Macaca fascicularis: one gene and its partner. Each later gene encodes a partner of the first gene's protein in a complex. Links are inferred from orthologs where the notes say so. Each region holds a gene or a part of one and is shown on either strand. Other genes may lie near its edges.

Region 1 (4,040 bases):
ACGGCACCGAATGAGGCTTTATGGTGGGGTTTCCCACAGATGTGACCTTCGTTTGCTTCTGTAGGTGGTCCACCCATTCCTGCAGATCCTGCTGGTTGTTGCATGACACTAATATCCGCTCGATCATGCTCCCTAGAGGAGAGAAGGAAAAAATAGGCCGAGTGGAAACACAGGTAAAAAGCGCGTGCATGCACACACAGCCCCCAGAATTCCACTCAACGCTTAAACACCACCTTCTGAAATATGCAAGCAAGAATCTGCACGCGGGGACAAGCTGCCTCTCCTCCCCGAGACACGGCACTCACACAGCTTGTGCCTATCACCTGATATTTCAAATGCATTTCTATGGTTTTCACTGTCCTCAAGCTTTGTGATTGTCATTCCTGTCGTTGGAAGCTTTCCCTAAAAAAGACCCCCCCACAAAAAAAAAACAATTAGTGCTTTTCTAGAAAAAGGTACCATTATTAAAGTAATATTAAATGATTTTAGAATTGGTGGAGGAACTGTGTTTGTGAACCAAAAAGAGTTCGTTTGTAGCAGATGCATGTATAATACAAAAATCTTTATCTCAAATAATAAATCATATTAATACTATACTGTAAGCAAGAAACTCAACTGGCGACAAGGGACAGACTGACAAGCCCAAACACACACTGCATCTGATGAGCTGCTACTAAACAGACACCAGGACAAAAAATCTCACATTATGATTTTTTAAAAACTACCACGTGTAACAGTTGTTTTAAACGATGTTTTTGCAGAAAAGCAGCATGTATTTGCCTCATAAAGAAATACAGAGGAAGCTCCAAGTTTAAAGTCAAAATAAGGGTGGGAAATTGAGGCAAGAACAAGAATTGCCTAACATTCTACTTTATAATCCACCAAACAGAAAATAAGTAGTTGTGCTAAATGCTGCACACAATGCAGAAAATGGTTGGCAAACCAATGCTCCCTGAAAATGGAAGAAATCAGTAACTGCAACAGGAAATGTCAATGGAAAAGATACCAGAAACGGGGTACAAAGTGATCATTACAAACAAATCAGAAGTGAACACAAAACAGTCTGGCGCAGCTGACAGAAACTACAGTACACGGTGGCCCACCAAGTCCTCAGGAAGAGGCAGTGGCATCTGGGTCGTGCTGCCTGGGGAGCACTCCATCAGCTGCGGAGCGAGATTCTGCATGAGCACCTCCAGTGGGAGTGCTGCTCAACGGGTGTGGGGAACGTGCCCCCACAGAGAATGGGTGGCAGTGCCACAACCTGGCAGGGGCTCAGACATCCAGCAAGTAAGGGCCAGAGAGGCTGCCTATACCCCACAGTACCCAGGACAGTCTCACTGAGCCCTCAGCCCCGGGCCATGAATGATCCAGTCCAAAACGTCAGCAGTGCCCAGGTGGAGAAATCTCATCCTAAAGCACGGCAGGTGGAAGAGGAGACTGCTGGACACTTCTGTGGCCAAGCGTATTTTAAAAATGCTACACACTGTGAACTCCTTTCCAAGATTCACAATGCATGTAAGTACTTTAACAGCTGTGAGTGCTACAGAAAATGAAACTGCACAACTGTGTTTAACCTAGCCCACCGGAACATCGGTGTACAGAGCACTGTGGCTGTGGCTGGATCGAACACTTTTTAGCATCCCCCAAAGCCAGTGTTCCAATGGTAGAAATGAAGACTGACGATACAGAGACCATGGCTCACCACTGTACTAAGAACTGAAAAATAGAATCCTGTCGTTGAGATGAGCCCCAGCAGTCTGTCAGCACGTCAAGGGTAAAGCCAGTGTGAGCCCCAGTCCCACAGGCAGAGACTCAAGCCTGCCACGAGTGGCAACCTCTTCTCCCTTAGGCTAGAGAAGGCTCCTGTCTCCAGCCACTGGAATGAGACTCTGGGGATATAAAATAGGAAGCCAGATAGTGCTGACCAGAAAGGACAGAGATTTAGGTTTATCAAGGTCATTTAACAAAGAAGTAGCTGCTAGTTTATTGGAAAACTCTAGTGGGCACCACCTTAGCCACAGATCACCTCTCTTCAGCAGTGGCCTTACAAACTACAGCCTTATTTTCCTGAGTCTTTTCCTATATATGTGATTCATCAATTCTAAAGCACCCGTTTTAGAGTAAGCGTATGACGACAAGTCCTCTCTGGGTGGTCGACAAAGCCTCTGTGAAGGCACAGTGTCTGCTTAGGGCTCTCTAACGCCCTTGCTGGGACGACACAAAACAACACATGCTACAATGAAACGCAACCCAGGGAACACGAAGTGGTGGCTTCTGCTGCAGTGGTTATGTGGTGACTGGCCAGTCCTCAGAAAGTTGATGGGAAGGATATGAGCCTCTATTACTTCACAGAAAAAAAAGAATGAAACCTGCCAAGTGCATCTACTAGACAGCAAAAATACCAGCTCCTTCACATACCACCACTATAAACCACTGTCATAACAGAGAAGGCCCTGCTCACCCTTGCACCTCCTTCTCAAATCCGCTGTCACATTTTCTCCAAGAAAAGCAGGGAAACAAAAATTAAAAAGGTTCAACAATCACACACTGCTACTTACATACGTACATCACTTTCTATTTGCTGATGCATTTGGGCAGTGCTGTGCCACTGACACAAGACCTTAGTCTACACTACCCCACTAACCCACAAGCCCTAGCTGAACCCATTTCACAGAACAAAACTATAGCAAGGAGCAGCAAGGTATTTTGCATGAAATGACAGAAGGCAATGACAGAGGCTGACTTGTGCCACAGTCATCTGTGTCCTTATGAAGTTGCTCTACATTTACACTTCTTTCCTTTTTTAAAATGAACATAGGATATGCTTGCATAGTCACAGCGAAACATAAACAGGAGCCGTACATCCATATCTGAACATACGGCATTACACACACAGCACATACACAGATACATGTAATATTTAACACAAAATTCAAAGTCAGCTTGAAATTATCCTCAGATCCACAATAAAATATAAATTTAGATGGTGTTTTACCTGATAGATAAAGCCACTCATCCTAGGACTGGCAGACAACATCAGCAAAACATTTGGGAAGAGTAGAAGATATCTTTCATTCTTTTCCTAATACAAAAAAAGAAACCCAAAACATTTCTTAAACAACATCTACTTACAAATGTGAGCACAAATACTTATTTATACTAGACCCTATGAAACATCACATGGTATTTCTCATTTAGGTATTTCTGTCAAGTTTTATCAGGTAAATTAAATGGAAACAATTATGATAAATTCTGTATTAAGTCTTAATATATGATTAAGAGAGAGCTTTGACATATAGGTAAAGAGAAGGATTTCTAAATTCTTCAAAAAACAAAAGGTAAGAAACTAAACTGAATGATTAAAAGATCCTGCAGTCACAATTAGCCTGTGTAACATCTTGAAAATATATCTGGTTAAGGAGTTCAGCTCTGTGATTATTTTCAGGTAAGCTAAAATTTTCTTTTTCTGGTTCAGAGAAAAAGGAGAGAACCTATACATTTTAGTGGGGTGAACAGGTGAAGTCTTTAAGCTAAAGGAAGGATAGGATAAAATGTTAAAATCAATTTCAGTCTACTACTAATTCCTGGCACTTCCCAAACCTCCCAAATGTCAAATCAGTGTTGTTCTCATCCACCCCATAAACATCACCTGGTTTACATCAGACTTAAAAGTATTACTTATGTATTAAAAATCACTTGCTTCGGTAAGATAAAAGCCAAAGAGACGATAAGTGAAAGAAAAAAGTTCCTAAGAATCCAAAAAGTGACAAAAAAATGCCAGACAGTCCTTTTCACATGTTGACACTTAAACTACGGCCCCCAAAAGTGTAATCGGTCCTAGGAATTAGTTTCCCCACGTATATTCCTCAGAACATTAGGCTTACGCAAAGCACCTTGAAAAGAGTCTTCCATACTTTAAAGAAGCCACTGAGAACGACTTGCTACAGCCCCCTCTTGAAGACTCACAACATACTTTGGGAACATTGAGAGCCAAGTCTCTGAGGAGCTCTGTCATAAAGAATCTTTTCCACTAATCATGT
Region 2 (4,040 bases), on another chromosome or scaffold:
TGTGAGTTTAATTATAAAGAATGACCTGGTACAAAAGCCATTTCTCTCTGCAAAATCTTGGTCGGGAGTCAGGGGAAGGGAGGTGATGGGGGGTAGGAATGAACCCCCTTGTTATAATCCCGCCTCCCTAATCTTCCTCCAGTCCCTGTACGTGGACTCCTGGGTCCCAATCCCTTGAAAGATGAACTGAGGCCCGCGGAAGGGAAGACCTGGGCACCGGGGCTTTCAACGCGTGCCGAGCCCTGCCTCAGAATCAGACGTCCTCATCCGCCCCCCTCCTCTTCCCCTCCCACCCCCCTTGGAAGACAATTCTCGGGCTTTTATTTCAGGTTTTTTTTCTGGATTTTTTTTGTGTGTTCTAGGGGTTTTGTGGTTTTTTTTTTTCTGTTTTTTATATTTTCTTCTTTTGTTATTGTTCCTCTTTTTGCTTTTTCTCTGCTCTCCATCCCGCGCTGTCCCCGCATTCGGTCCCTCCCCACTTCCCACCCCGACCTCTCTTCCCCCCTCCCCACCCCCTACGCCCTCCCCAACCCCGCGGCACCCATCCAGAATGAACAAGCCCTTGATAGACGGGCGCCGCGCAGGCCCCCTGCGGACTGGGGGCATCCGACAAGGGGGAGGGGGCGGGTAGGGGTCCAGCGCGTCCTCTGCCCCTCTCCTCAACACCCCTCCCCCCTCCCACGACCCTCCCACGAGGTTCCCCGCAGATCCCTGACATGGTGAGGGGAGGGGGCTGCAAGCCCCCTCCCCTCATGGACGGAGCGCCCCCCCCTCTCGGGGGTAGGGGGCAGCAGAGGGGGAATGGGCTTGGGGAAGGAGGGGGAGCTCCCTTCTTTGGCAGCTGAACATGGGGGGGGACCTGAGGGCAATGCCCTCCCCGCTTTACCCACAGCAGGGGAGGGGGCTTCTCAGGGGGAGGGGTGGCTTACAATTGCCAAGCCGCGGGGACAAGGGGAGAGAGGAAGCGTGCGGGAAGGAACAGCCATGCTGGAAGGAGAGGGAGCTTCTTGGAGTGGGCAGGTTAGGAGAGGGGCATCTTCGTGCAAAAGGGATGGACAGATGGCCCAGGAAGGACAGGCAAGAGAAGAGGGAGGCTGAGGGCTGGAGGCAGGGTCAGGCTTGAGTGTGGAAGCATGGTGAGCGGGAAGCCAGTGTGCATAGGGTCTTCTCTCACCAGGAAGAGAAAGAGCTTAAGGAGGTAAGAGAATCCGAATGAGAATGGCCGCAAGAGCTGCTTGTCAACAGGAAAAAACAAATAAAGGTGTCAGGAAGAGAAATGTTACAGCCCAAGAGCGCATGGAATGAGATGAGTTTGCAAAAGGAAAGAAGTGGTAGAGCTCTCATTCAGGTAGAAAAGACAAGATGCGGTGTGCAGCCATGTCATGGAGTGCAAGAACATTATTAAAGGGGGAGAAACAAGGCTTCCAGAGAGCACTGAAAATGCGGGGGCGGGGGGCGGGGGCGCATGTGCAAAAGCAAGTGTGCGAGAGGGTTCACAAAAGAATCAAAAATGCAGAGGGGCAAAGATTTCAAACAGAAAGGGGCAAGGGAGTGGGAGCCTGGCAAAGAAGAAGAGAATGAGCATTTGTGAGAGAAACACAGTTCCTGGGAGGCAAGTGTGCAAAAGGTGTGACCAAAAGTGACGGTGCAAAAGGGGCAAGAGGGAAGAGGGGGGAGGGGTGGAGGGCTAGGAGTGTCACGGTGAGAGGGGAGAGGTGGGGAGTGGAAGAATCTGGGGTTTTTAAGAATAAGAAGGGAAAGTGCTTCAACGTAAGAAAATGGAGGTAAGAGTGTGTCAGGAAGGGTGCATAAGATAGCAAGTGTGCAAGGGCTGAGCAAAGAGCAGGGCACTCCAGAGAATGAATGATGTGCATGGAGTCCGTGAGTGGGGGAGGGAAAATGTGTCCCAAGTGTGTCTGCAACAAGGGTCCAGAGCGAGCGGGGAGGAGGAGATGTGAAATGGAGTGTGTAAAGGAGGGCCCTGGTAGGGGAAAAGTGTGTAAGCAGCGAGAATCAGAGCAGGAGGCATGGAGCATGAGAAAGGAAATGCAGCGTGTGCGAGGAGAACAGAGTGTGTTTGAACGGGCCTCGCCAGCCGGAAGCAAAGGCAGAATGTGCAAGACAGCGAGAGGGCAAATTTGTGCAAAATTGCAGCCCAGGGAGGGGAGGGGAGAGAGGTGAGCAGGCGTGCAACAGAGCGTGCAAGAAGCTGAGGGGGGCAGCTGTGTGTGCTGGGGAGAGGGGAAGGGGGAAGAGCTGAGGGGTCTGGAGAGAGTGGGAAGGGTGGTTAGAGGGGCGGCAGGTGGTGGAATCTGAGGGCACCCCCTTCCCCTGCGGCCTGGGGGACAGTCCCCATCCAATCAGGCTCAGGGCTGACCCTCTATGGCTCTGTCTGTCCCCTCCCCCCAGAATAGGCCCTTCCCTCCTTCTCAGTCCCCCTCGGTAATTTCTCCTATCCCCCCTCCGCTCCCCGCTTCACACACACACAGTCTTGTGTCAGCTGCCCCCCTTCAGTGAGGTGCAAATGTCCGGCCTGGATTGGGCCACCTAGTGACCTCTGGCCTTGGGAGACGAGGGCAGGGCGCAGTTTGAACAGAGTCCCTGGCCCAGGGGAGAGAATGACAGTCAGGGGTCAGAGGTCAAGAGGCCAGCAGGCTCAAGAGTTCTGTGGACGGGGCTGGTCCGTCCAGGCCAGCCATCACCTCTCCAGGAAGAATTTGAGAGCCCGGTCGATGTTCATGCGGTGGCCCACCCTGGTCACACCTAGATCTACATAGTCCTCCTTGGTCAAGGCGGGCAGGTGGGAGCCATCGATCTCATGGTCCAGGAACTGGGCTCGGTGCTCCCCCAAACCCAGCCACTCTAGCCAATCAGCCACGTCGAACTTGGTCCAGAACCCCAGAGGTTTAGCGCCAAACGGCTTGTCCGGGGGCAGCGAGAGCAGGCGGGTCGGTGAGAGGGAGCGCGAGGCCCCTGACAAGGCTCCCCCGAGCCCTCCGGATATCCCCGGGTGTGGCGGCACAAAGACTGGGGCGAAGGGGTCAGCTGAGCCTCCTGCCCCTCCAGTTGGGGAGCCACGGATGTCAAAGAGGCCTGGGTAGAGGGGTCCAGAAGGCAGGATGGGCAGGGAGGAGGGCCTGGGCGCAGGGCTGACCTTGTGCTCCGAGGCGGGCAGCAGCGAGGGGCTGGGGGCCCGGCGGAGCAGAGGGGGCCGCATCTCGAACTCCACGCCCTGGAGGTGGCGGGTGGACGTGGAGGAGGAGGAGGCCGAGGGTGAGGTGGCCCCTGGGGCCGCAGCGGCTGTAGGGGAGACCCCTGTTCCGGTGGGGAGCGGTGGCAGAGGTGGTTTGGGCCAGTTCTGAAACAGGCTGCTGACAGGCTTGGAGAGGAGCGAGGACTGGGAGTCGTCGGAGAGTCTGGAATGTGACAAGGGGGCAGTGGGGGAGGACAGGGATTTAGGGGGCAAGGGCAGGGGTGAGAAAGAGGCAGAGGTCAAGATATAGGGAGAGAGGAGGAGAGACATAAGGGTAGGGGGAGAAATGGAGGAGAGAGACGGGAAGAAATGGAGGGAGCAAAGGGTAATATGGCCGTCGAGGAAAGAAATGAAGGGAGAGAAAGATGAGAGGACAGGGAGAGGGCGACAGTTAAGAGAGATGAAAGAAAAAGAGACATTAAGTGATAATAATAATAATCGTCACCGCTCACTGATGCTCACGTGTGCCAGGCATTGTTCTAAGTGCTTTACATGATTGCATCTCAATCCCCACGACAGCCCTGATGCAGGTTACTATTATTATCAGCACAGAGAGGTTAAATAACTTGCCTAAGGACACACAGGAAGTGGCAGAGCCCGGTTATATGGCACCAAAGTCTGAGCTCTTCACCACTATTCTATACTGCCTTTCAGGTTATGGCCAGTCATAGCAGAGTGAAAGATGGGGAGACAGTGAGAGAGAGACAAAAAGAGGGTGAGCATCCAGGGGAGAGAGATGGAAGGGACAGGGGACACAGAGAGAGAGAGATGAAGAGAGGGAGATGAA

The links. The genes of interacting proteins can lie anywhere in the genome.
Region 2: the proteins of ARHGEF7 (region 1) and SHANK1 are in contact, whole or in part, in a crystal structure (PDB 3L4F), measured with the Rattus norvegicus proteins. The link is inferred for Macaca fascicularis from reciprocal best matches to the Homo sapiens genes ARHGEF7 and SHANK1. Residues at the interface, in XP_063131056.1 of Rattus norvegicus: Asp735, Ala737, Trp738, Asp739, Glu740, Thr741, Asn742, Leu743; in NP_113939.2 of Rattus norvegicus: Gly673, Phe674, Gly675, Phe676, Val677, Leu678, Arg679, Gly680, Ala681, Lys682, Phe696, Glu703, His735, Arg736, Val739, Ile742.

Annotation. Positions count from the first base shown.
Region 1 is NC_088391.1:101,799,538-101,803,577, reverse strand, and holds part of ARHGEF7 (rho guanine nucleotide exchange factor 7), read right to left. Parts: intron 3,083-4,040; coding exon 2,996-3,082; intron 403-2,995; coding exon 234-402; intron 133-233; coding exon 1-132. UniProt on the Homo sapiens protein: Acts as a RAC1 guanine nucleotide exchange factor (GEF) and can induce membrane ruffling. Functions in cell migration, attachment and cell spreading. Promotes targeting of RAC1 to focal adhesions. May function as a positive regulator of apoptosis.
Region 2 is NC_088393.1:58,574,900-58,578,939, forward strand, and holds part of SHANK1 (SH3 and multiple ankyrin repeat domains protein 1), read right to left. Parts: intron 3,901-4,040; coding exon of another isoform or gene 3,855-3,900; exon of another isoform or gene 3,824-3,854; intron 3,417-3,823; coding exon 2,699-3,416; 3' UTR 1-2,698. UniProt on the Homo sapiens protein: Seems to be an adapter protein in the postsynaptic density (PSD) of excitatory synapses that interconnects receptors of the postsynaptic membrane including NMDA-type and metabotropic glutamate receptors via complexes with GKAP/PSD-95 and Homer, respectively, and the actin-based cytoskeleton.